Astyanax mexicanus: one gene and its partners. The protein of the gene in region 2 interacts with the protein of the main gene of each other region in a pairwise test. Links are inferred from orthologs where the notes say so. Each region holds a gene or a part of one and is shown on either strand. Other genes may lie near its edges. The genes, in order: ncdn, efhc2 and plod3.

Region 1 (8,419 bases), on a different chromosome or scaffold from region 2:
AGTACCAGTCATCTGGAGGAAGTCTGCTGTCCTCAGCTGCCCTGCGAGAGCACCTGACCAAGAGGAAGGAGATTGGACCTCGGAGATTTGTGGGAAAGAAGACTATATCTAAACATACTGGATGGAAGGAAGACAAATGAATGGTGTTCTGGTCATTTGCGCATGGTGAGCATGGCGTTGATGTCCCAAAGAAGGTTCCTCATCTGATCCATCAGCACCTTCATCTCCTGATTCTTCTGCCTCACTTTCTGTGAAGGTCACACAGAAGATATATATATAATCTTAAGTTGAAAAAACGTGATTTAAGGTTTATTTGTGTATTATTACAATATATAAAAGTACATTTTGTAGAGGAAAAGTTGCAAATGTATAAGTTCATTAATAGTAAGGGCAATAAAGATCAAATTATTTATATATTTTTTACAAAGCCAGTGGCATAGCAATGGCAATTTACTAATGGAAACCTTCAACTACTTCTAAAATTTTGAGAATGAGAAAAAGAACATCGGCACAACATAAAATATTTTAGAATTGTAGATAAATTAAAAATTAAAGCATCATTCATAGTCAAGGTCACAAGTATTTAGACTGTTATAATTGTTGTATTTTCCCTCTGTACACCACCCCAAATGAGTTTAAGTGTTTAAAATTCATAGCAGGAGATCAAAACTGTGTTGTAGTGTAGCCTTAGAGTCATGAATAACGAAGCTGAAGCATTACTTTTCAAAACAGAGTTTTCTCTATGTGCCATACATGCTGCATATATTAAATATTAGCCTCAATAAAATATTGAATTTTTTTTTTACTATTAAATTCTTTGATTAAACACTGACTTAAGCAGTTAGCATGTCCTGTGCTGCACACTTTGTCCAGTAGGCTGGCATTACTAACTACACTGTACTCATTCTTTAAAAACATTAATAACTAAAACAATAGTAAGTGGAACAAACCTCTAAAACCTCTTGTCGGTCCTGACTGACTGCAGAACTGCAGGGCTCTACTTTCACTGGAACCACCTCCTCTCCAGCGTACGGCACCAGCTACACATAGACACAGAAACAAAGTTCCATGATATGACAAACATTACTTTCAAAGCAAATGCACCAAACAATGGGTCACACTGAAGAGCTGAGTAACACTGCCATACAATGCCACCTTTGCCACCAGTAAGTTTGTGAAACTTTTGCCCAGCTATAACTGCCCCAACAGTCAGTACATGCTATATTGTTGCTATATTGAGTCCCAAACAGTCCCAAGCAGAAATACCAGCACATGAACTTTACTAAAAGAGCTTCAGAAAATGTGTATGTTTTATGGCCAAGTAGGTGCACATATGCTTAAGGCCAGTATGTGCAATGCCAAGTTTTGAATCTGGGTTAAATTTGTACCAGGAGAAAACAACCTGCCAAACCACACTGTGCCAGCGGTAAAGGTTTGGTGGAATTCAGAGCGTGTGCTCAATCCCTCAGCCCAAGTGAACTGTAAGAATTATGCATTTAAAATTTATTTAAACTAATTTTCAAACCTATTTATATAGCACACAATGAATTTGGTCACGAAAAAACAGCTCTACAAAGATACCAAACAGAATGATGGTGCTCCATCCATTACTTTTGAGATGACCTGGAGAGTTGGAGGTGAGGTGGGACGGAAATCGTATAACTCCTGACCTCACTAACACTCTTTTCAATGAATGCAATCAAAACCTCACAGCAATGCTTTATGTGCTACAACATATGAATACATTTGCTTTATATTTTATTATTTTAGCTATTACTTTATTCATTTACTTTCTAAAACCCATCAGACAATCAACTTGAAAACCAGTCTCACCTCAGTAGGAGACTCCTGAAGGTCAGAGGTCATCTCTACGCAGCGCTCGTAAAGCAGGCGGAGTTTGCGGAAGAGCAGGGTCAGTTGACGCAGGTGCTCTTGCAGTTTGCCAAAGCGGTCCTGATACACTGCCTGACTCTGAGTCACACCATTCGGCAACTACAGCAAACACAGACCAACATCAAGTACTTATAGAGCATACTTACGAAATACAACACAGCTTAAATGTGAACAAGTCCAATACCTCTATTAGGCTATTAAAATTTTTTATTAATATATATTTTTTTTATATTAAACACACATGGCAAATTGATATACTATAAAACGCAATATAATACAAATCTATATTTTTCTCAGATCTTTTTTTTCTTGCTGAATTATAATATAACTTATAGTTCTTAAAATTGTACCTGTAGCCATTTTCCTATGCATACTTTATCCTACTTTCACTCTATTTCTCAGCGGTCAGGACCCCACAGGACCAACATAATGCAGGTATAACTTGGGTTGAAGGTCATTCTCAGCACTGCAGTGACACAGACATGTGGTGGTGGTGTATGAGGTGTTAGTGTGTGTTGTGCTGGTATGTGTGGATCAGACATAGCAGTGCTGCTGGAGTTTTTAAACACCTCACAGTCACTGCTTGACTGAAAATAGTCCACCAACCATAAATATCCAGCCAACCAGGACTAGAGGATGACTAACAGAAACTGTGCTGCAGCAGGTGATGATCTGTCTATCTGGTCCAACGATCCAGCACAACACACACTTACACCATCACCACCATGTCAATCAGTGTCACTGCAATGCTGAGAATAATCAGTAGTGGTCCTGTGAAGTCCTTTTCATTAAAAAAACATATAATGATAAAGCACTTAGTGTAATAAATACAGTGTCTAAAATTACAGACATAGAACATGCTCCTATGTAATCAGCATAGCTGATCTAATGCACAATGAGTGCAGAAACAAGGAGGTGGTTTTAACAAAAAGAAGTTTAATAAAAGAAGTTTATGGCATGAATGTCCTGGTAATTTGTGTTGGAGAAGCTGTTAACACACCTGGGTGGCTCGTGTAATCTGGAAGATCTCCATAGTGCGAGTAACTATGTCCTGAACTGTCTCCTGACCGATCCGACAGAGGAAGACGGGGGATATCTCCCTGAGTCCTCCCTGGTTTGGGCCAATGGGGGGCTGTCCAGGGCCTGAGCCTGGGGTAAGATGAGGGGGCTGCTGCTGCTGCTGCTGCTGCTGCTGCTGCTGTTGTTGTTGAGGGGGCAAAACACCCATTCCTGGGCCGGGACCCTTTTGTGGCAGAGAAGTTGCCATCTGCAAGGAGAGAACAAGACATAGACCTGTCACGATAATTAGAATAACAAACTTTTTTTTAGCAAGAAGAGCAGAACAAATTAAGAAAAGACAGACATATAGACAAGTAGACAGACAGACCTACAGACAGACACTTTATTGATTTTGAAGGAAATTTAGCAGCCAGTAGCAGTTACACAACACAGCACAATAACACAAAACATTGTATTGTTTACAATACACAATACACATCATATTTTCTCTCTCTCTCTCTCTCTCTCTCTCTCTCTCTCTCTCTCTCTCTAACACACACACACACACAATGTATTAGCATTCTAAATAAAACCATTATTTATAATACCATTATTTTACATTTATATTACATTATTATATTACAAAAACTATTAAAATGCTACAGTTATTTAGAAACAGACATCTATATTTAAAATGTGCCACATATCCTAATAAAAAACATTACTAACTGCACTTTCTGTAATTAAATGCAGTTGGTCAGTGTGTTTTTAGCAGCTGACAAAATGATAGATACTCAAATACACTCAGATCTCTGCCTAACAAATTCATTAGAATACGACCCCTACAATAATATCGTTTATTGCAATTAATTTGGGGACAGTATATCGTCCAAAGTTATGCAGTTACAGTGGCAAACCAAGCACGACTGTATAGTGTAGAGTAGCTGAAGACTTAAGGAGAAAAAATAGTTAAATCTATAAACAGAGGCAGTTTAGTAACAGTTACCAGCAGCTGGTTATCTTAGCTAAGCTATGGTTAGGGTCAGTTACTCTCTGGTAAAGAGGGTGAGAACTAGCTGAATCTACACACTAAATGAATGAAAGCTATAAAAAATACTCCACATTATTCTCTGTATAAAACCTCAGAGTCTCTCCAGAACACAGACCTTCACTCACTCTGAACTCCTGCCGGTAAATCAGCGGATTACTCTGATAAACTGAAGCAGCTCCTTCTTCTCTCCGTTCAAACAGCAGCAGCTCCAGCCGCTGATCTCCGTCACTTCCTGCTTCCTGTTCCTTTCTCTCTCCAGTTCCTCGAGAAGGGTAATGCTGCAGACCGGAGCCCCAGTGGGCGTGGCTAAAGGGCGGAGCATGTGTCAATCATTTTCGACTGCAGCCAATCAGATACTACACTTTCGTTCTCAATCACTTTTTATTAATCCAATCCTGAGACAGACCAAGCTGTCCATCATTTTTTTACTGCAGCCAATCACCTTAACAGATCTGTCAAAAGAAGGCGGAAACTGCGGTGCTACCGGTTAAACGTAGCACGATTTAAATTTCTGTACAGCGGTGAAGCTGAATGTGTATAAGTATTTTACAAAATACTACATTAACAGTTTGAACACACACTATTGTAGTTAGTCCTGCCTATATGCCGCTCTTAAACAGAAGTAACTGAATGAAAACGTTAAAAAAGCCCTGACTTATATTTTTAAATCAAAGATTAAAATACTCGTTTTTATGGAATGCGTTTGGCTAATACATTTAACAATTGTTAAAAAACAAATACATAAATAATTAAAAAAAAAAAAAATAATAATAATAATAATAATAATAATAATAATAATAATAATAATAATAATAATAATAATAATAATACGTGAAAAGAAATAATAAATTGTGGCTATTAAATTTAAGAATTAGTTTATATAATAATAATAATAATAATAATAATAATAATAATAATAATAATAATAATAATAATAATAATAATGGCTATTAAATGTAAGAATTGGTTAAATAATAAGAAGATAAAACACATATTATATATTTTTAAGGAAAATATTTAATTTTGTTCGGTTTAATTCAAAACAAATCATTTCAGTGCATCCGTTGAAAATGTATCAGAAACGAGGACAAATTTAGCTTAAGATTTATTTTGAAATTTAAGTGACTTTTAATATGTATTTTGGCGGAAGTCGGTGTTCGGTCGCATGGATAACGTAAGTGATTTGACACGTTCTCCTCGTGTTTTGATGGTTTGATGTTTTGGAATTTCTCGGTCCGGCAGGTTCTAATCTTCTCTTTTACTCATTTAATCAGTTATCTCGGTACAGCGGCGCTGTTTACTGATACGCGCTGTGAGCAGGAAGATCGAGTGAGAGCGCAGTTTAACTAGCTGATCTTATTTAGCTAACCTGGATTAGCTGGGTTACTTCACTTGGTAAAGTGGTTATGTCAGGAAGTTAATGTGGAGAAAGTGTAAATGAATGGTCTTGGTTTAGTAACTAGGTTTAGTACTAATTGGTGGTATAAGGAGGGCCCTCTGTGCTTTCTGTTTGTGTGCATATTCAACAGTATCTCCAGTATTTCTGCTTCCATATGTTTAATTGTTTGCTTCTCGTGTCTAGGCAAATAACTAACGTTAGTAGGTTTTAATGTGGTCGTGAGTTTATTTTACCAATATACAGTACCTGTAAAAGGTTTGGACACACCTCTTTTTATTCAATGTGTTTCCTCTCTTTTCATGTTTTTTGTTTACATTGTTGCTACAATTTGCATTATAGACGTGAAATCTACACAAGTGTAAGTGTTAAACAAACCAGAAATCTATACTATAGATTTTTCTAAGTAGCACATTTATCTTTTAGGAGAGATCTGCGCACACTTGGTATTTTAATCTCAGTGTCTTCATGAGGGAGAGTCACCTGGAATAGTTTTCTCAGCGTCTTGAAGGAGTTTCTGGAGATGATGAACAATATTTGCTGCTTTCCTTTACATTTTTTTTTACAATTTACTACGTCCCTGAATTGTTTTCATGTCTTTAATATTAATCTAAAATGTAGAAAATGCATTAAATTAAAAAAAAAAAAAACTTTAATCGAGAAGGTGTGTCCAAATTTTTGACCGGTCCTGTCTTTGTCAGCCTAGAAACATCATAGTTTTCCCATATTTTCCTATTGTACATGGCATGTCTTAATTTTTGGAGCCAAAAATGTGAGAATTCTAGATTTGCCTAGGCTATCGCCTTTCTGCTTTCTGTAGTGTCCCAATATATGGTCTCACTCATCACATCCTGATATATTTACAGGTATGTTGACCAACACTAAGGATGTCTGAAAGTGAAAGTCCCATCAGCCAGGAGGAGGTATCCTCCCAACATCATTCAAATAGTGAGGAGCAATGCAAAGCAGATGGTTCTTCTACTGCTCCTGAACCTGAAACTAAAGGCCTGTCTGCAGCTCAGCAGGATGTGCTGGAGCGCTGTCTGCACGCGCTCACTCACGCCAAAAACGACAGCCACATCTTGGCAGCTCTTCTTCTGGTAAAGTCATTCTGTCAGCTGTGTAGTGTGAACAAAAATGTTATTTTAAAAGATCTGCTCTGAGACAGTGTTTACATTTTATTACTAATTTTAGTCTGTGCATTAAGTCTGTGCATTAACAATGAACTATGAACATCATTTTGTGCTAAGTTTTAGTTAATCAATGCTCTGCTAACTTATGATGTCATTATTAGTACTGGCTTGGGTACTGTCTATTAACAATTTATTAATTAACGTATCTCATATATTTTCTTGGTAAAAACCTGTATTGTCAGTATTAGTTAGTTTCCTGTTAGTTCTATTTCCCAACATGACAATTATCAACTTTGAAGCATCTGATAAAGTCTTACCTTTCTTAAGGCCTATTACAGTATATAACTGGACGTTTATGAATAGGCAATTTTTTTAAAGTAATGTAAAGTGAGTATTATATGATTCTCTAACAAGCCACTCATTAATAACTTTATTATTAACAATAAATCATAGTTAACTCTTAAAGAAATGTCTTGTGTCCCCTTAGGAATTTTTATTGTTTTTAATCCATGTAATTGTAATTTAAATACATCTTCTCTTTAGATTACTCGATTGTGTCCAGCCAATCAGCTTGACAGGGAGACCCTGCATCGTGTCTTCGAAGCAGTGGGTTTTAACCTCCCTGCACGCCTCCTGGTGACTGCCATCCGGGGGAGTGAGGGCTCTGGACTTCCCCCTGAGGAGCTCCTCTCTCTGGGCACTGCCTTGTTGGCTGCTCTCAGCACAGACCTGGACATGGCCACCCATCCTCAGCTGCTGAGCACCATCCCTCTCCTCCTGGGCCTGCTGGAAAATGGAATAGCAGACAGTCAGAAGCAAACACAGCATAATTCTGCATCTCAAACCAATAATTCTGAGGAATCATGTCCAAATGGAAACTCTACATCATGTGACACAGACACAGAGCACAACACAGGAGAGGATGTTCCAGAAAGTTCCTTAGGTGAAGGTGTAGATGGGGTCCAGCCCCCTGCTTCTAAACTGGATGAGGCATTGGCAGCTGACTGCTACCAGGTTCTGAGCACAGTATGCTCTCTCCCACGTGGCCCTGATCAGCTGCTGTCTCGTGGTGCTGTACCTGCTCTGTGCAGGGCTGTGTTGAAAAAACAGACTCTCAGCCATGAGAAAGGTCTTCCACTTTTGGCTCACCTTCTGTCCAGCAATATTAGGGAGCGGGTGTGGAGCAAACACCAATCAGAACTTCTTTCTCTTCTTGCTACCATCTCCCAGAACTTCAGCCAAGCTCCAAACCAGGATCGCCTGGACTTGTGCTCTTCTGTACCACAGTTCCTCCCTCCTCCAACAGCAGAGCCTCTGACCAAGGAGCTCCAAGATTCAGTGTCCAGTCTGTGGGCATCATTACGTCCACTGGTCCAAGGTAAACTCAGCATAGATCATCTGGGGCCAGTTCTGGTGCTGTCTGCTTGTTTGCTGGACTTGTGTGGCTGGGAGCCGACTGGATCCCCAAAGTTCTGCTGTCTGTTGGTAAATCGGGCATGTGTGGAAGTGAGGATGCTTCTGGAGGAGCCACCAGGTACTCAGCTTTCTGCTCAGCAGCAGAACACACTCACTGCCTGTTACCGCATCATGGAGGCAGCCATGGAGCAAGCATGCACTCAGGGGTCTAATCCCAGTCCTGCCCAGCCGGAGACAGCCATTGCTGGGCTGAGTCTGCAGCAGAGCAGGCAGGTCCTTGGAGTTCTGGAGGAGGCTTTCTCTGCTGTTATTTACTACCTGCAGCAGGTGAGAGAAAAATGGAAATTACTTGAATTATTTAACATGTAACCACAATCCATACACATATCAGCCTCAGCATTAGAACCTGTGTCTAATATTGAGTAGACCCTGCTTAGGCCACCACAATAGAACTGACCATTTGAGGCATGAACTCCACAAGACCTCTAACAGTGTCCTGTGGTATCTATCATTTCATGGAGCACTTTTGGT
Region 2 (8,427 bases):
CTTAATTTTAATTATTTTTTAGTTTTAAAAGCAGCGGTAGGAGTGTAAGAACACACGCTAACCTGCGTCTGTTATTATCACCTGGTCAGCATTCAGCATGACCTGCAGACAGTTCACAGTTAACCTAGCTTAAATTTGTAACTGTGCTTATTTTTGCTTAAATGTTCATAATCAGAAAATCAGAAAATGTGTAGTTCTTTATTTGCTCGTTGTGAAAAAAGTTAGTGCTTGTCTTTACTGTCACTCTTAACTGTCCGGGCCTGAATTCACAAAAAATCCCACAAAAGAAACTTGTCCTTATTTCTGTGCATGTATTTTCTTTTTTAAATGTTATTTCGAATATTTTATTTTTAACCATTTTCTCAATGCAAATTCTAATAAAACAATATGCTTTCATCTTAAACACTGACTGTGAGTTGGTCTGGATTATATGCCCAATTTATTTTAAAATATATTTTTTAATTTCGGTCAATACAAGGCACAGAGTGTTCCATCAGTCTAAAGTGCTGCCACTATTATTGGGAGATCGCTTGTTTGAATCCCTGTCATGCAGCTTGTCATCAGCTGCCAGAGCCCTGAGAGAGTAAAATTGGCCTTGCTCACCCTCCTGTTGTGGCATCACTAGTGATGGGGGATATACAGCCGAGTAGCAGCTAAAAGGGTGGAAAAATTAGGAGAAATGGGAAATATAAAAAAAAAGTACGATAAAATTGATTATTGACATAACCACGTCTCTTTGTGTATGTAATCACATGCTATGGTAAAAAATAATATATTGATAACATTTAAAGGAGAAACCCTGTGAGAACTGGAGACCTACCTCATAGTACTGTGTCTATAAATAGTGTTTTTAATAAACTGCCTGTGCACTTTTAAAGCTTTCAGTGTCTCATTTTAAATGTCAGGACCCTCAGAATTCTACCAATGAAGTATGGAGCAACTTTGAGCTTGTTTATGGTGTAAAAATAGTGGTTTCTTTGCATGGATAAGAAAAGTTTGTACTCTGTATCATGTTTAACTACACTCCAAGTTCGCTTCACACCGAATTTCTGGACCTGTATTTCCAAAATAACCTAAAATAGATTTTTGTTCCTAGAAGTCGTTCCTATTTCTGTATAATATTTTCAAAACAAGGTTCACTTCAAAAACATCAGAAGGTCAGTCTCTAGCGTGGTCCAGTTAAAATAGCTGTTTATTTATGCATAAGGAAAATAGTGGTACACATATTTTACCCAACAGTGTCGTTTTGTTTGAATTTTTTTGTTGAATTTTTTTCTATTTCTTCTTTACTTAATGTTTTTGAGTGCTTGATTTAAATCAGTTTTTTCTCCATTTTGCACATATTGAATTGGATCATGTAAAATGTTATCTTGCATTGTTTATTCTCCCCTATGTTATTCAAAGTCTTTCTAAAACTGTCCTGTTTCATCCATAAATAGAGGCAGAGAGTGAGGATGAATTGTACGAGGTGGTGGATATCACAGACTATGCCAGACGGCATCAGTGGTGGAGTCGAGTCTTTGGGAGCAATACAGGACCTATTGCTGAAAAGTACTCTGTGGCGACGCAGCTCATGATGGGGGGCATGACAGGCTGGTGAGTATAGATAGCTGGATGGAAGTTTGTGTAGTTTCAGATACAACCTCAAATCATTTGATTTATATTGTGGTTTTCTGCAGGCATGCTTTAAATAGAACAATAGAAGAGACTGTCTCTCTTTTTGGTTTGCCTTCTTGTGAAGAAGTCCTTAAGCAGCAGATACATTGTCCTGTCACAGTTTAATATACTGTATGTACACAAAAATTAATTGAGTGTATGAGCATAACTGCAAGTTAAACTTTACATGATATATTTTTGTTTTTGGATAAATTGTCCCAGAAATAATTGGGATAGTTTTCCTGAACTTTGATTAAGCCTAGAAGGAATACTAAGTCCAAAACTAAACTTAATGTCTGTCTAGGAAATTGCCAACTATTATGCCACTCATATGATGTTAATATATTAGCATACTATAGCAATTACACTTTTAATTATTAAGAAATATACTAACATTGAAATTAAAATCTAAAAAAATAATAATTTCCTAAATAAATGAAAGAAAAAGCCAAGAGCAACACACTGTCTCATGCATGTAAATGGGCAGACCCCACTAGATAAAACATAATGTGCAGAAATTATTAAGATTATGTTCATATATTGTACAGTAACGGTGGAATGTAATTATTGTAACAGTCAAATTGCTAAAATAACATCTCTTAAGTCTGTGTATGTTTTTGTGTCTGTTTTAGGTGTGCTGGATATCTCTTTCAGAAGGTTGGGAAAATTGCTGCAACTGCAGTTGGTGGAGGATTCTTATTGTTGCAAGTAAAGACAATGGCACATTTTTAAACAATGCAGAGCTAATTATAGAAATATTTGTCTTTGTTTGCATCAGAATCTTATTGTGAATCCTTTTTTTTAGATTGCCAATCACAGCGGCTATGTGGAGGTCGACTGGAAGAAAGTAAAGAAAGATGTTAATAAAGCGAAAAAGCACCTGAAGAAAAAGGCCAACAAAGCTGCTCCTGAGTTAAATTCCTTTATCGACGAGGTACATTTTCCACTGTTTTATGTAGGATCCAGGTGTACAGTTGGTGTAGGTCCAAAAGTTTGCAGACATCTGTATAAAAAAAAAAAGCTTCCAGATTTTGTTGGAACAGCCACATATGAGCCTAATATTAGAAAAGTGTGTGGAGTGATTGGACTGTGATGTGATTGAGTACTGTAATAGACCTTTGGGATGACTTGGAGCAGTGTTTGTAATCTGGAAATAATCATATAACATCATCATTATCTGTCCTCACTAATATTATTTTGGATGGATGAAATCAAATTCTTACAGAAAGGTTCCCAAGCCTTCCCGGAATAGGCTGTAGCCTATTAACTCTCAATGAATAACCTTTATTTTTTAGACTGAACACTTGATCAGCATGTGTCTACAAACCTACAAACACATAGAGTAGCTTATCTTATATGTGGTTTAATATTGATGCAGTGTTGTTAAAATGCATTTATGTATTGTGGATGCTCAGATAATAATAAAAAGCTGCAGATAATATTTTAGTTTTTTTTTGTTTTTACATTTTAAAAGCTTGTATTTGAAATAGAAATAAGCCATGTCTAAAAACACTAACTGCTTTATAATTTTGTACAATATGTTTGTTTTTCTGAAATCTTGACTTTCTTTACAGTCCACAGAATTTGTCAAGAGAAACATTGTTGTTTCAAGTGGATTCGTTGGAGGATTTCTGCTGGGTCTGGCATCCTAAATTCTGGATGAGTCTGCTGCATAAATGAACTCTGCCAATCCTGAGGCATTGTCCTCAGTGTTTATGTTCAATTGCTGTATCACAGGGGCACAACACTAAAAAAAAAAAAAAAAAAACAGATGGTTTTAAGACAAAGTTTGCACTAGAGGGTTGTGGCAGTGCCTGGACCTGGGTCTCTCTCTCTCTCTGTCTGTACAATGAGGAAAGAAATTTAAATATATCATGAAGTATATTATTAACACTACTTTAAGTTCATTACTGGAATGCTACAACATGTTTATTTTATATATATTGGTCAGTGTTGTTGTTAGCTGGAAAACTTAATGCCTGTACTTTATTAGTTACGTGAGCATATGTTAAAAAAATAGTTCTGTATTAAGCTGTGTATAGTAATTATGTTTTCAGTTATAATTTGCCTTTTTCACAGTGCTTAATTTTATTTTATTTGTATGCCTTTTTCATTTGTTGTTACACAGATGGTTTCTTGTAGTTTTAATTATGTTTGATGTGTTTTATTTATGTACTGTACTGTGCCAACTACTTTACTGGACACTTGAAACTTATATATGTTAACATAAAAGATGATCTCCTAATAAAAGAGGCATTATTTATCCATCTCGTGTTGGATTCACAAGTTTTCTTATTTAAAGTTTCCAAAGAAAACGACAGAACCCGTCAATAGTGTGAGGGACCCTTAGACATTTATGGAATGTTAATGCAGTCATGCAGTCATAACAAAGATAACGACTTGCTGTTGAGTTCAGTATGAGCAGCACAATCTGGACTGTTTTCAGCAGAAGTGTGGGAAGTATCTGTGGTCTACAGAGAAACAGCTACATTTTATAACTTCATTTTCTCAGCAAATGTGAACTTGCCTTGAATGAGAGATCTGGGGATAGATTTGCAAAAGGGTTACTTTAACCCTCTTCTTCTACAAGTGTGTAAGAATTGACAGCCTCTAATACTGCAACGTCTAATTACTAAGCTTGTCACAATAATTATTTTATTGTACAATATATGATCATAACCTCTATTTTTATTGGCCTCAATATTGGCTATTATGTTCACCTTACTAGAAGTAGCCTATTGATGTGAATAGAACATGTTCAAATATTAAAGTCACCATACTGTTACTGATCATCAGTAAATTTTGCATTTTATTTGGAAATCAAGGACCAGAGTCTGGAGGAAGAGCAGAGAGACACACAGTTCCATCTGCTTGAGGTGGTTTGGAGAGACATGTCATCTGCTGGCTTTGATCCACTGTGTTATATCAAGTCTGAAGTCAGTGCAGTTTTGTTTTCCCAGAAAATATTACAGCACTTCCTGCTTCCCTCTGCTACCGACAACTTTTATGGAGATGCGAATTTCATTTTCCAGCAGGACTTGGCACACTGTCCACACTGTCAAAAGTATCAACTGGTCCTATATAATATTCTAATTTTCTGAGACATTGATCATAGTCATAACAATAAAATTAATAAACGCTTAAAATAGATCACTCTGTGTGTAATACATCTATATAATATATGGATTTCACATTTTGAACTGAATTACTGAAACAAAGTAACTTTTCGACGATATTTTATGTTTTTAAGAGCCACTGGTTTAGTATGTGACACTTCAGGAAGACGGATCCGCTCCTCACGTGACCTGCTGTTGCCTAGCAACTCAAGCTTCAAACAGTGAGCCGGAGCTCGCGGGTCTCAGCCGCTGGATGAGGGACTGTTCAGGACTTTTATTAGTTTTATTAGTATTTTCTATCTATTTAGTGTATAAACATGCCTTTACCTCTGCTCCCCGGGAATTCCCTCAACAGAAACGTAAGAAAATATTACTGTAATTATGTATTTAACTAGCTTTATTAGCTAGAGTTAATTCTTGTTTATTCAGTCTGTTAATTAGTTAGTTAGTAGTTAGTTAAGCTAGTTAACGTTAACTAACAAGTTAACGTTAAATAGCTAGCTAGCTAGCTAGCTAATTTGAAGTTTACTGTTTGGAATGATTTCTGAACAATTAAAGTTAGCATTAGCTAGCTTTAGTTATCTCAACGGCTGTGGGATGTAACATTAACTAGCTAAGTTGCTAAAATCTATACTTCTCTGACTATTTTCTTGTTTAAATTCAAATTACTATTGGCTTTCCACTTTTTAAAAAGCAGTTCCACTCCAATTTTAAAATATAATAAAAATACAAACGTTCAAAATGACACTTAAAGGCTTTCTCATAGCTACAGTAACTTACCAGTCTAAAGTTTGGAACCACCTTAAAGGTCTCGTTCCATCCCTTTTTAATTCATTTTAAACAGTCTAGTTGTGGTCTCTAGTATGAATGAATGCCATGTGAGACTTTTTTTTGTGAAAACTTTTTTTTTTTTTTTGTCTATTTAGCCCTGTCTTTTAGTTTCCTTAGAGTACTGTAAGCACCTGGCCGAGAAAGCCCAGCGCAGTGCAAATTGAAAAGCGCTGCAAAAGCACAAAACACATCCATCAAAATTGCAACACAGGCGCAGCAAATAGAAAAACGCGCTGCAAATAGAAAAACGCGCTGCAAATAGAACCACAACACAACGGAAGTGAGTCACAACACAACGGAATTTTCCCGGGGGACCTTAAAAGATGCTGTACCAGCTGTATACAATGGACAATAAGTGGCAAACAAGCTTCTGAAAAGTAAGTTATGTTTATTACCTGTGATTACCACGGTTGTGTGCATATTATTAAAAGTTCTGCTTCACAAAACGCCTTGTTTGCCACTTATTGTCCTTTGTACACACAGTGAAGTCCGAGACGTTACTGAAGACGCAGCTTAGCTGGTACAGCATCTTTTAAGGTCCCCCGGGAAAATTCCGTTGTGTTGTGACTCACTTCCGTTGTGTTGTGGTCCTATTTGCAGCGCGTTTTTCTAGTTGCAGCGCGTTTTTCTAGTTGCAGCGCGTTTTTCTAGTTGCAGCGCGTTTTTCTAGTTGCTGCGCCTGTGTTGTAATTTTGATGGATGTGTTTTGTGCTTTTGCAGCGCTTTTCAATTTGCACTGCGTTGGGCTTTCTCGGCCACCGTAACCTCATACTACTGTGAAGTAAGTAAGTTAGAAGATAACTGTTCTCCAAAAGTAATGGAATTACAGATTTCACACAAATATATACGTATTAGCAGAATTTTTGCATAAATATGAATATTACATATTACATAACTCTTCAGACAGACCCAAGAGCCTAACCTGTTCTTTTTTATTTTATAGCTGGGAAAAGAAAAGTTTCACAAGTCTCAACATTTTGAATACTCAAAAGGAATACCATTAATGGTGGGCGCAAAAAAGCCTGGCATTGGAGGAGAACCGCTGCTCGGCCAGACGGCAAAACCTCAGTACTCATTGTTTCCAAAAGAACAAGGCAGTGGTCCTTCATGGTTAGCCTTCGACAAGCAGGTTTGTGATAAAAGAAAAACTCAAATTTTTATTACCAAGCAAGCTAAATGTACTGTGCGGACACTGGCATTTGTTATTTCTATTGCAGGTGCTTTGCTTTGATGCATATTTCCAAGAACCTATTACTCAGAGCAGAGAGGAAACATACAGAGTCAGAAAGTGCAAAATTTACTACTACTTGGAAAACGACACCATACAGGTTGTGGAGCCAATAATAAAAAACAGTGGCATGCAACACGGTAAAGCTTTCAAGATCTCCTAAGTAGCATAACATGTCTAACATGACAAATTAATAAGGTATGACACTCTCTTTGTTTTTTATCTCTTTCTAGGAACATTGATTTGCCGCCATCGCATTCCTCTCCCGGCTCCTAATGATGACCAGTTTTACAATATACAGCACTTTAATATCAACCAGGAGATTGAGTTCTACTCCAGAACCTACATGATTACAGACTGTGACCCTTTCACACGTAACTTTCTGAGGAAGATGGGGGTACGCATTAATTCCTCTGCTACAGCACCAGCAGATCCTTACACAACACTTCGTCAGGAGGTAAGCCAGTGAGTGGCTTGTGTCTGTAAAACAGATCCCAGCATAAATCATAATCGCGCACTAGCGCATAGCCTTCTAAACCCTGTGTTTTACCTACGCAGCTGGAGGACAGCATGAAGCCACGGCGCCCATATGAGAGGCAAGATACTTTAAAGCAGTTCCTGGAGCACGATCATAATGTCCTGCGATTTTACTGCTACTGGAATGATACCGAGAGCATGTTTGGTGACCCCAGAGAGCTGATCCTGCATTACTTTTTGGCTGATGATACCATAGAAATCCGAGAGGTTCTGTATCCAAACAGTGGGCGGGACACCGCCCCTAAATTTTTGAACAGGAGTAAAATTCCTAAGGTGTGTATAAAGCTGTGATTCTTGTTCTGCTACAGTAAATATTGATTTTTATAGTGTCAAAATGATTATACACATTGAAAGGTATAGGATATATATTAATATCTGTTCTTCCTGGAGCACAAGAAAAGGATTCTCTTGCCACCATGAAATGCTGAAAAGCCTTCTTTCATTTCTTCTGCTTGAATAAGCTTCTCCATCACCTATGCCACAGATTTATCTGGAGTGACGAGGCTGAAAGAGCGCCTGACTTCTATTTTCCCACTAAAGCACTCTTCTTGCTCTCTTTCCTAGTAGCTTTTCAGTTTTAATCCATTATAAAAACAAACTTGTTTAGTTTTTTTTTTTTTAGTTTTTCATCATATACACTCTTAAAGGTTACTAGGAACAATAAATTATTACACATTTAGACTAATATGGACAATATTGAGCTTTTGAGCTAATCATACAAAAGTGCTGTGTAATGCATGTGTAAGGCATGTGTAACGCAACATGTAGAGGTTCCTAATGGTGTCCGTCGATAATCCATTCCTTGCAGCTCAAATATTTGTGGAGATATTGCTGCAGGAGTAGAGTGATAGCATGTCAAATTGCAAGCTCTTGACTCAGCAACAATGTTGGGCAATTGGTTGCAGGATCTTAGTATTTGTTGTTGGGCTGTTGGCCTGTTGACCTGTAATCCACCCTGACCCACAATCTGAGTGGTAATTTGAGCTGCATCGCTTGAATTATTGCAGAACATCATTATAAACCTTTACTATTTCATGACTAGATGTCTTGGCTTGTTGT
Region 3 (8,371 bases), on a different chromosome or scaffold from region 2:
TAGACACCTTGCTGAATTGACAACATTCTACAAAACAATTAAAATCAAGTATAGGAAGATGAAGCCCACGCAGCTGATGACAAAACATTGTAGCAAAGTTCTTAAGTCCACTCACTAAACTGCAGTGTAAAACCAAAACTAAAACCAAACATATCCAGTGTACCAAAAATGTGAACCTGCAGACTCTGCTCTTGATTTGTAGGTGTGAAAAAACTCTAAAAAGCACTGCAAGAGAAAGCTGAGGCTTTTTTTTTTTTTCAAAAAGTAAAGTAAAAAGCTAAAAAAATGCCCACACCCACCCCATTCTTAGAGAGGTCTGATAAGATCATTTCTGCTTTGTTTAGTATGGAAACCAAGCTGAATAATTCCAACACCCAAGTGTGTATTACACAAAAAGATTCAATGTAACAAAATATGTCCCAGAGTCTGTAACATTTTCGCCATCAATGTAATGTAACCTTCATCCCCATCACAATTAGAGATGAAGATGTTTTTTTTGGGTTGATACCAAATGCCCCCTTTCAGCTGAATCATCCGATTCCTAAAACCATTCAAGGGTGGGGCTGGAATCAACCACATTTAAAACACTGTGGAACTCTCGAGCACCAGTGGCAACAATCTGTGAATTCCCTGACTATTTATCCAGCACTTTAAACAACTGTTTGGACAAGGTTCTTCAGCTTTACAACTGTTATGTTAAACTTTTGTTGTTGTCAAAATATTATATGTACTGCATGATGTTTTGTGCTAATAATGCTCACTGGACTGAGTTATGCACTCTTGAGAGGGCCTTCCAGTTAACAGTGTTAAAAGTTTTTAGTCTGCTTCCCCCATGAGACCCTCTGGCATTACACCTTCTACAAATACATGACTAAGACAGAAACAGCAAAAACAAAAAAACAAACGCAAGATTGACAAAGTGGAGCTACAGTGGAGCTACTAATTAACTACTGTTTATAAAAGTTCTACAGACCTTCTTTAATAAACATTTCTTTATGTTTTTGTTAACTACAAAACATTTAATTAAAGAGTAGTTTATTCTCAGTTTGTTTCCTGACATGTTCACTAGTATTTTGACTGTTAACAATTAGATGATTTCCGTAACCTTTTTACAGTAGGGTGTAAAGATTGGGGAACCCCTGGTCAAAATACCAGATAAACACCAAAATACCCCACTTATACACACAACACTCACCTGTCAACGAAAAGGATGATGGTGTTTTGTTTGTCTTTGTGTTTCTGCATCTCTTTCTTCAGCCACCGAACCTTCTGTCCTCCACCCACAGTTTTAGCAACATCACCTCCTCTCCACTCCTCCCCCAGTCCCAGAACCTGGACACACACACACACACACTGTTTACACAGCCCCCTCCTCACTCCTCCCCCAATTCCAATAAATACAGTTCTGTGCAAAAATACTCAACCCCCTTAAAAGTCTTCAGATTCGTCTGAATCATGACTTACTCTAAGGAGTTCCAGACAGTGTTTTTTTTTTACAGAATCTTGTTATCTTAAACTCTTAATTCATTATTCATCAGCACTTTCCTAAAAACTAAGACTAAAACAGTTTGTGTGCAATAGTACCCCTTAAGGGCTTGGAAGAAGCACCTCTTGCTACAATGGCAGCAGTAATGCTCCCACCCCCATGTTTCACAACTGGGATGGTATTTGCTGAGGAATGTTAGTTTAGGGTAGTGTTAGGTGAGTGTTAGTGTGCTCTTCCTTGAGGCATCTTGTTAAAACTAGATAGAAAGACAGATAGATGAAGGATGGAACTGAACCAGTTACTTTCTAGTCCCAAGCCCACTTCTCTAAACTTGTGTGTGTGTGTGTGTGTGTGTGCGTGTGTGTGAGAGAGTGTGTAATATAAAGTCATTCTGATTTTGTAATGCACAAACTGGTTCTCAGCTGTTTTCAAGACTGGAAGTGAAAGTTAATGACTCAGAAAGAACGGATGGATGGATGGATGGGTCATCTAGCTGAGTCTAGCACAAAACTTGTATGTGTATAAACTGGTGGAGCTTTTGGTGCAGGGGTTGAATACTTTTGCACAGCAGAGCGACGATGAATGTATTGATGGTGGGGAACCTTCACAGTGTAGTTGAATTCTCTGGCTGTTCGCATAAACCGGTGAAAGCCATCCGTCTCTTCTGTAGCGGCAGTTATCACCAGCAACTCATCTGGAAGGGTGAAAGTGTGTGAGCATGAGAGAGAGAGAGAGTTAGTGAGGGTCTCTGATTCAGTAGTAAGGGCTGAAGTATTCAATTGAAATGGAAAAATAAACAGAACCCAGGGTCTAGGTAGGACTGCAAACCCCCACTCTTTACACACTCCCACACTGTAAAGAAAACAAAGGGGTTCTTATATGGTTCCATATATAGAACCAGGAGAACTTAAGGAACCATTTGGGTCCTAAACTTGTTCTTTGCCTAATGAAAAGTGTTTCACTGTTGGGAATAAACCCTTATTGCTTGATGGTCTGTGCTCACACAGATTGATTTGGTTTAACTTAGTGTAAAATTAGATTCAGTGCCTTATTAAACAAATTAAAGTCTCTAATATGAAACAAGTACACATACACAAGCTCTATTACATTTTCTAACTATAATCAGTATCAAAAACTAAGTTTATTTGCCAGCTTTTCGCACATTTAACTCTTTTTTTCTCGAACTTTCCATTCCACCTTAAATGGTGCAGCAGTTAGCCTCAGGCGGCAGATTCTAACCGCTGCACAATTTAAGGTGGAACGGACAACTGAAAAACTTACTTCATTAAAAGTTAGAAATAAACAGATAATTCGAGTGTCAGTAAGACCACCATTGCCCACCAGTACCACACACCCTTACCACCGCCCTATACCCCAGTATAAACCCAGTATGTTAGTTTAGTTCGCTGGTTGTTTACCTGTTTCCCCCGCGCCCCTCGGCACCAGCGCGCACACCACGGACAGCCACAGCGGCACGAGCCACATCCTGACCTCCACACCCAAAAGCCTACAGCCCCGAAACTACCGTCACCAGCCCGCAGAGACACACACCGAGCACACCGGCACAGGCGCGCGCGCGACTCCGCTGCTCCGCTTAAAGCTCCGCGAATATCTGCGGGAGAGGAATGCAGCCTGCAACACTCCCCACTTCCGCCTCCTCAGCCAATCACAGAGCGGGACCCGCAAACCGGGAGACCGAGGGATTCATCCCGACCAACCAGCGGCGGACAAATGGGATTCGTAGCTTTTCGGAGTAAAAACCCCGCCCCTTCCAGAGCCGAGGAATGTTCCGGAATACAGCGGTGCCACGTTTCAGCAGACTCACGTTCCGCTGATGCGTTACTGTGTTACAGTCTGACTGTGTTACTGTACTATCAGTGATAGTACAGTAACACAGTCAGACTGTAACACAGTGATAGTCTATCACTGAGTTACATTCTGACTGTGTTACTCTACTATCACTGTGTTCCTGTACTGTTACAGTCTGACTGTGTTCCTGTAATATTACTGTGATATAGTCTGACTCTATTACTGTACTTTCACTGTGTTATAGTTTGACTGTGTTACTGTACTATTACTGTGTTTCAGTCCGACTGTTACTGTACTATTGCTGTGTTACAGTCTGATTGTGTTACTGTACTATTGCTGTGTTCCTGTATTGTTACAGTCTGACTGTGTTACTTTAAACTTACAGTGTTACAGTGTCTGACTGTGTTCCTGTAATATTACTGTTACAGTTTTACTGTGTTACTGTACTATTACTGTGTTACAACCTGGCTGTGTTCCTGTACTATCACTGTGTTACTGTAGTATTACTGACTGTTCCATTAACACATCACAGTGCAGTAACATAATACTGTACTGACTGTTAAAGAATTTTTTGCATAGTCTGACTATGTTACTGTATTATTACTGCACAGTCTGCTTTTCTATATTTTTACTCCAGTTTGAGTGTTTTACTGTATTATTTATGTTAGGCTGACTGTGTTACTATACTTTACAGTATTATCACTGTGCAGTCTGTGCAATATTACCACATACATTTCAACTTTTAGTATAATATTACAAATTGTTACTTTTAGTGCACCAATGATGTTATTAAAATACTGTACTATTACACAATTTGGATGTATATTGTAATAATGTACTGTACTGTACTACTGCACAGTCTAATTGACCTGCTGTATTCTGTTTTACTGTAATATAGTATAACTGCACAGTCTATTTATTTTACAGGATTATTACACAATCTAATGATGTTATTGTATGTTAAATATTGTTATTGTGTTACAGTATCACTGTAGAGTCTGGCTGTGTTTAATAGATTGATATATATTCTGATTGTTACTGTATTACTACACAGTCTGACTGTGTATCTGGATCATTACACAGTCTGACTGTCTTACTGTATAACTACATAGTCTGACAGTGTTAATATATTACTGTGCATTATTAAAAAATAATCTCACAAGGCTCCACACTTTGCTGGCAATTTTTCCACAGCATAATTTTTAGTTTAGCAGATGCAGTTAAATACTCCTGACAGTAGGGGATGCTAAAGCACTTCTTGCTGGTCATTATGAGAAAGGTATGGAGGCCTGGGTACCTGAATCAATACCCTCTCTCTCTCTCTTTGGTTCTGTACTCTGCTCAGGTTCATCTGTTTGTTTGACTGAGTAAATATGGTCAACAACACACACACACACACAGAGCTCAAAGTACAGATACCAGTGTACCCACCACAAGGTACACACACTACCCTGTGATCTGTTCTACTGGAGTGGTAAGTTATGTGTTCTAAATTATACCAGTATTTGGATAAAACGTTGTTTTCCCACTATTGCTGTCTGAATGTCCAGTCTCTGACCGTGTTCTGTTTGCGTCCGATCTCAGAAGGTGTTCTGGTGTTCTCTTTGGGTCCAATCAAAGGAGGACCCAGACCAGATCTTTACAGAAAATCACAGATTCAGTCCGGTTTCATGACTTTGTGTGACGATCCAAGACACAACATGTTAGATTCACAGTGTGATCAAATGAAAAAAATCAGTGATTGAAGCTGCTACTGTCCTAAATATGTATATAACTCTGTGTGTGTTTAGATTGCATCATGAGGGACGCTACGGAAGCCAGCAGTTCCAACAGCAACGAATACCATGACGAGTTCGACAACACAGACACCAAAGCCATCTGGAATAAAAGTGTGTATGTGTGTGCAATGTTGATTGTGTTGGTGTTGATATGTGTAGTGTTGGTATTGATAGTGTTGGTGCTGTTGGTGTTGATGATATGTGCAGTGTTGGTATTGATAGGGTTGGTGCTGTTGGTGTTGATGATATGTGCAGTGTTGGTATTGATAGGGTTGGTGCTGTTGGTGTTGATGATATGTGCAGTGTTGGTATTGATGTGGGTTGGTAGTATTGGTGTTGATATGTGCGGTGTTGGTGTCAATGGACTAGTGTTGATATGTGCAGTGTTGGTATTGATTGGGTTGATAGTATTGGTGTGATATGTGCGGTGTTGGTGTTGATGGGGTTAGTGTTGATATGTGCAGTGTTGGTATTGATGGGGTTGGTGCTGTTGGTGTTGATGATATGTGCAGTATTGGTATTGATAGGGTTGGTGCTGTTGATGTTAGTGTTTCTGCTGGTTATGTGTGCAGTGTTTATAGTGGTGGTTGTGCGTGCAGTGTTGACAGTGGTGGTGTTGCTGGTGGAGTTGATGGTTGTTGAGTTTTGATATATGTGTTGATGGTGTTTGCAGTGTTGGAGGTGATAATGACAATGTAGGTTAGTGTTAGTGTTGGCGCTGGTGCTGATGATGTTGGGTGTTAGTATTGATGGTGTTTGCAGTGTTATGGTGGTGTTGGAGTGTGCAGTGTTGATAATGTTTGTGTTGGTGATGCTGATGACAGTGTTGGTGGTGTTGCTGTTAATGATGTTGGGTGTTTGTGTTGGTGGTGTTGCTGTTAATGATGTTGGGTGTTGTGTGTGCAGTGTTGATAGTCTTGTGTGTGCAGTGTTAGTGGTGTTTGTGTTGGTGGTGCTGATGACAGTGTTGGTGGTGTTGCTGTTAATGATGCTGGGTGTTGTGTGTGCAGTGTTATTAATCTTGTGTGTGGGGTGCCGAGTGGTCCAGTGGTCTAAGGCGCTGCCACTATGAGCAGGAGGTCGCAGGTTCGAACCCCCGCTCATGCAGCTTTGCCATGGTGCTCTCTCCCCACATCACTCCTAGGGTAATGTCTGCAGCACAGGGCGTCTGTGAGCTGATGTACCGGAGCCGAGCCGCTGTGCTTTCCTCCAAGCGCGCTGCAATGCTGCATCAGCAGCAGCTCGAAAAGGAGCGGTGGCTGACTTCACATGTATCGGAGGAAGCATGTGTTAGTCTTCACCCTCCTGGTGTGTTGTGGCATTACTAGTGATAGGGGGAGTCCTAATGAGTGGGTTGGGTAATTGGCCGTGTAAATTTGGGAGAAAAATGGGAAAAATTAGAAATAAAATTATATTATTAATCTTGTGTGTGCAGTGTTAATGGTGTTTGTGTTGGTGGTGCTGATGATAATGTGTGTGCAGTTGATAGTTTTGGTAGTGTTGGTGTTGGTGGCATCTGCAGTGTTGATGGTGTTTGTGGTGGTGGTGCTGGTGATAGAGTTGTGTGTTCAGTGTTTAGTTGTGATGATAGTGTTGTGTATGCAGTGTTGGTGTTTTGGTTGGTGGTCTGCAGTGTTGATATGACAGTGTTGTTTTGTCATTGGCAGGGATGATAGTGTTTGTTTTATTTCTGGTGTTAATACTGTTAAGGAAGATTATTGTGAATCATATCTATTTTCTGTACTGTATCTATGTGTTTATTTGTTTATCTGTGTGTGTTTGTGTGTGTGTGTGTGTTTGACAGACACTGTCTCCAGGTTCACTGCAGTTCCCCCTGCTGGTCAGTTTCGATGGTATTTGTGTTTGTTTGGTGTTTCAGTCTTTATTTCTTTGAGCCTTATCATCGCCATCTCTGTGACCAGTGAGTAGCACACACACACACACACACACACACACACACACACACACACACTCTCTCTTTCTCTTTCTTTCTCACACTTCTGTCTGTTGTGTATGTGTGTGTTTATGTATTTGTAGAAGTAAATCTGGACGGGAAGTTGTCAGCTGTTGAAAAAGAAATCAGCAACTTGACCCAAACTTTGATGTCAATCACTGCCAGAATGAATCGCCTAGACCAGCATGGTAAGCACACACACACACACACACACACACACAAACACACACACACACACACATACACACACACACACACACACACACACACACACACACACACACACACACACACACACACACACACACACACAAACACAAATACAGTGACCTCAAAAAGCAAGATGAAGATAAAATGATCTCCAAAAGACTCCACAAGTTAAAGATGGCACATTACCATTGTATTTTAAGCAAAACTCTTTTTTACCTGTACATTTTCCAAATAACAAAAAAGGAAAAGTCCCAGAAGCAAACAATTTGGATAACTTCTATGATACTTATTAGCACCCCTTGTAAAAGTTGTTCATGATACCCAAATTAGGGGATTGTGAGGGACAAAACCTCTAGATCAGGGGTGTCAAACTCATTTTCACAGAAGGCCACATTGGCATAATGTGGCTTTGTAATCAAATGTAATCAAATGTAGTATAAAATGATTGTAACTACTTTTTAATGATAAATAACTCAGAATGTATTACTTATTTAACAAAAACATTACAGTTGCATGGAAAAAAATATGTTTGCTTGTTGCTCTGTTATAACATAAATCCTTTTAATTTGTCATGTTATGAAATCCACAAACTCCATCAATCAAGGATCAAACTATTCAAGTTAATAGAAATTAATAATTGACACACTGAAAAGAGGCTTAATTAGTATGAAATCAAAAATTGTGACAGCTGTAGCATTTCACAGATTTTTTACTGCAACAGCCTTGCATCTAAGCTGTAACTGTGGGTAATGCAATCGACATGCATTGTGGGAAATGTAATTTTTAAAGACTAAGATCTTTCAAGCTCTCGCGGGCCACATAAAAGGACAAAACATATGCTCTATATTGTGCCTTTTGAGGTAGTCTATTGTGTAGTCATCCTCTTTTTAACCTCTTTATTGATCCTCCGGCATGCTTAACAGTTGGAGAGGTGTTCTTTTAATGAAATTCTTCACTTCCTTTACTTTAAATATACACTTGTGGACAAATAGTTCTATTTCAAACTCATTGGTCCACAGGGCTTGTTTCCTAAATGCATCACGCTTGTTTCTTTTGCAAAATTCTTTTTGTGGTGTGGATGCAGGAGAGGTTTTCTTCTGATGACTCTTCCATGCACTTTTGTCTCTGTCTGTG

What was found.
Region 1: the proteins of efhc2 (region 2) and ncdn interact in binary tests that used the Homo sapiens proteins (3 or more experiments, as listed by UniProt). The two-hybrid records come from large-scale screens. The link is inferred for Astyanax mexicanus from reciprocal best matches to the Homo sapiens genes EFHC2 and NCDN.
Region 3: the proteins of efhc2 (region 2) and plod3 interact in binary tests that used the Homo sapiens proteins (3 or more experiments, as listed by UniProt). The link is inferred for Astyanax mexicanus from reciprocal best matches to the Homo sapiens genes EFHC2 and PLOD3.

What each region holds. Positions count from the first base shown.
Region 1 is NC_064410.1:53,436,550-53,444,968, forward strand, and holds the start of ncdn (neurochondrin), read left to right. Parts: upstream 1-4,988; 5' UTR 4,989-5,117; intron 5,118-5,123; exon of another isoform or gene 5,124-5,185; intron 5,186-6,205; 5' UTR 6,206-6,226; coding exon 6,227-6,439; intron 6,440-7,015; coding exon 7,016-8,215; intron 8,216-8,419. Other genes in the region: zgc:114119 (mediator of RNA polymerase II transcription subunit 30-like), read right to left, coding at 153-248, 951-1,040, 1,834-1,992, 2,894-3,160. UniProt on the Homo sapiens protein: Probably involved in signal transduction in the nervous system, via increasing cell surface localization of GRM5/mGluR5 and positively regulating its signaling. Required for the spatial learning process.
Region 2 is NC_064418.1:5,481,424-5,489,850, forward strand, and holds the start of efhc2 (EF-hand domain-containing family member C2), read left to right. Parts: upstream 1-4,976; 5' UTR 4,977-5,089; coding exon 5,090-5,131; intron 5,132-6,176; exon of another isoform or gene 6,177-6,384; intron 6,385-6,546; coding exon 6,547-6,732; intron 6,733-6,820; coding exon 6,821-6,971; intron 6,972-7,064; coding exon 7,065-7,288; intron 7,289-7,389; coding exon 7,390-7,641; intron 7,642-8,427. Other genes in the region: fundc1 (FUN14 domain-containing protein 1), read left to right, coding at 1,440-1,596, 2,289-2,364, 2,462-2,590, 3,231-3,308. UniProt on the Homo sapiens protein: Microtubule inner protein (MIP) part of the dynein-decorated doublet microtubules (DMTs) in cilia axoneme, which is required for motile cilia beating.
Region 3 is NC_064420.1:26,582,724-26,591,094, forward strand, and holds the start of plod3 (multifunctional procollagen lysine hydroxylase and glycosyltransferase LH3), read right to left. Parts: upstream 3,126-8,371; 5' UTR 2,972-3,125; coding exon 2,905-2,971; intron 2,181-2,904; coding exon 2,089-2,180; intron 1,333-2,088; coding exon 1,196-1,332; intron 1-1,195. Other genes in the region: asgrl2 (C-type lectin domain family 10 member A), read left to right, coding at 5,094-5,184, 6,878-6,994, 7,111-7,215. UniProt on the Homo sapiens protein: Multifunctional enzyme that catalyzes a series of essential post-translational modifications on Lys residues in procollagen. Plays a redundant role in catalyzing the formation of hydroxylysine residues in -Xaa-Lys-Gly- sequences in collagens.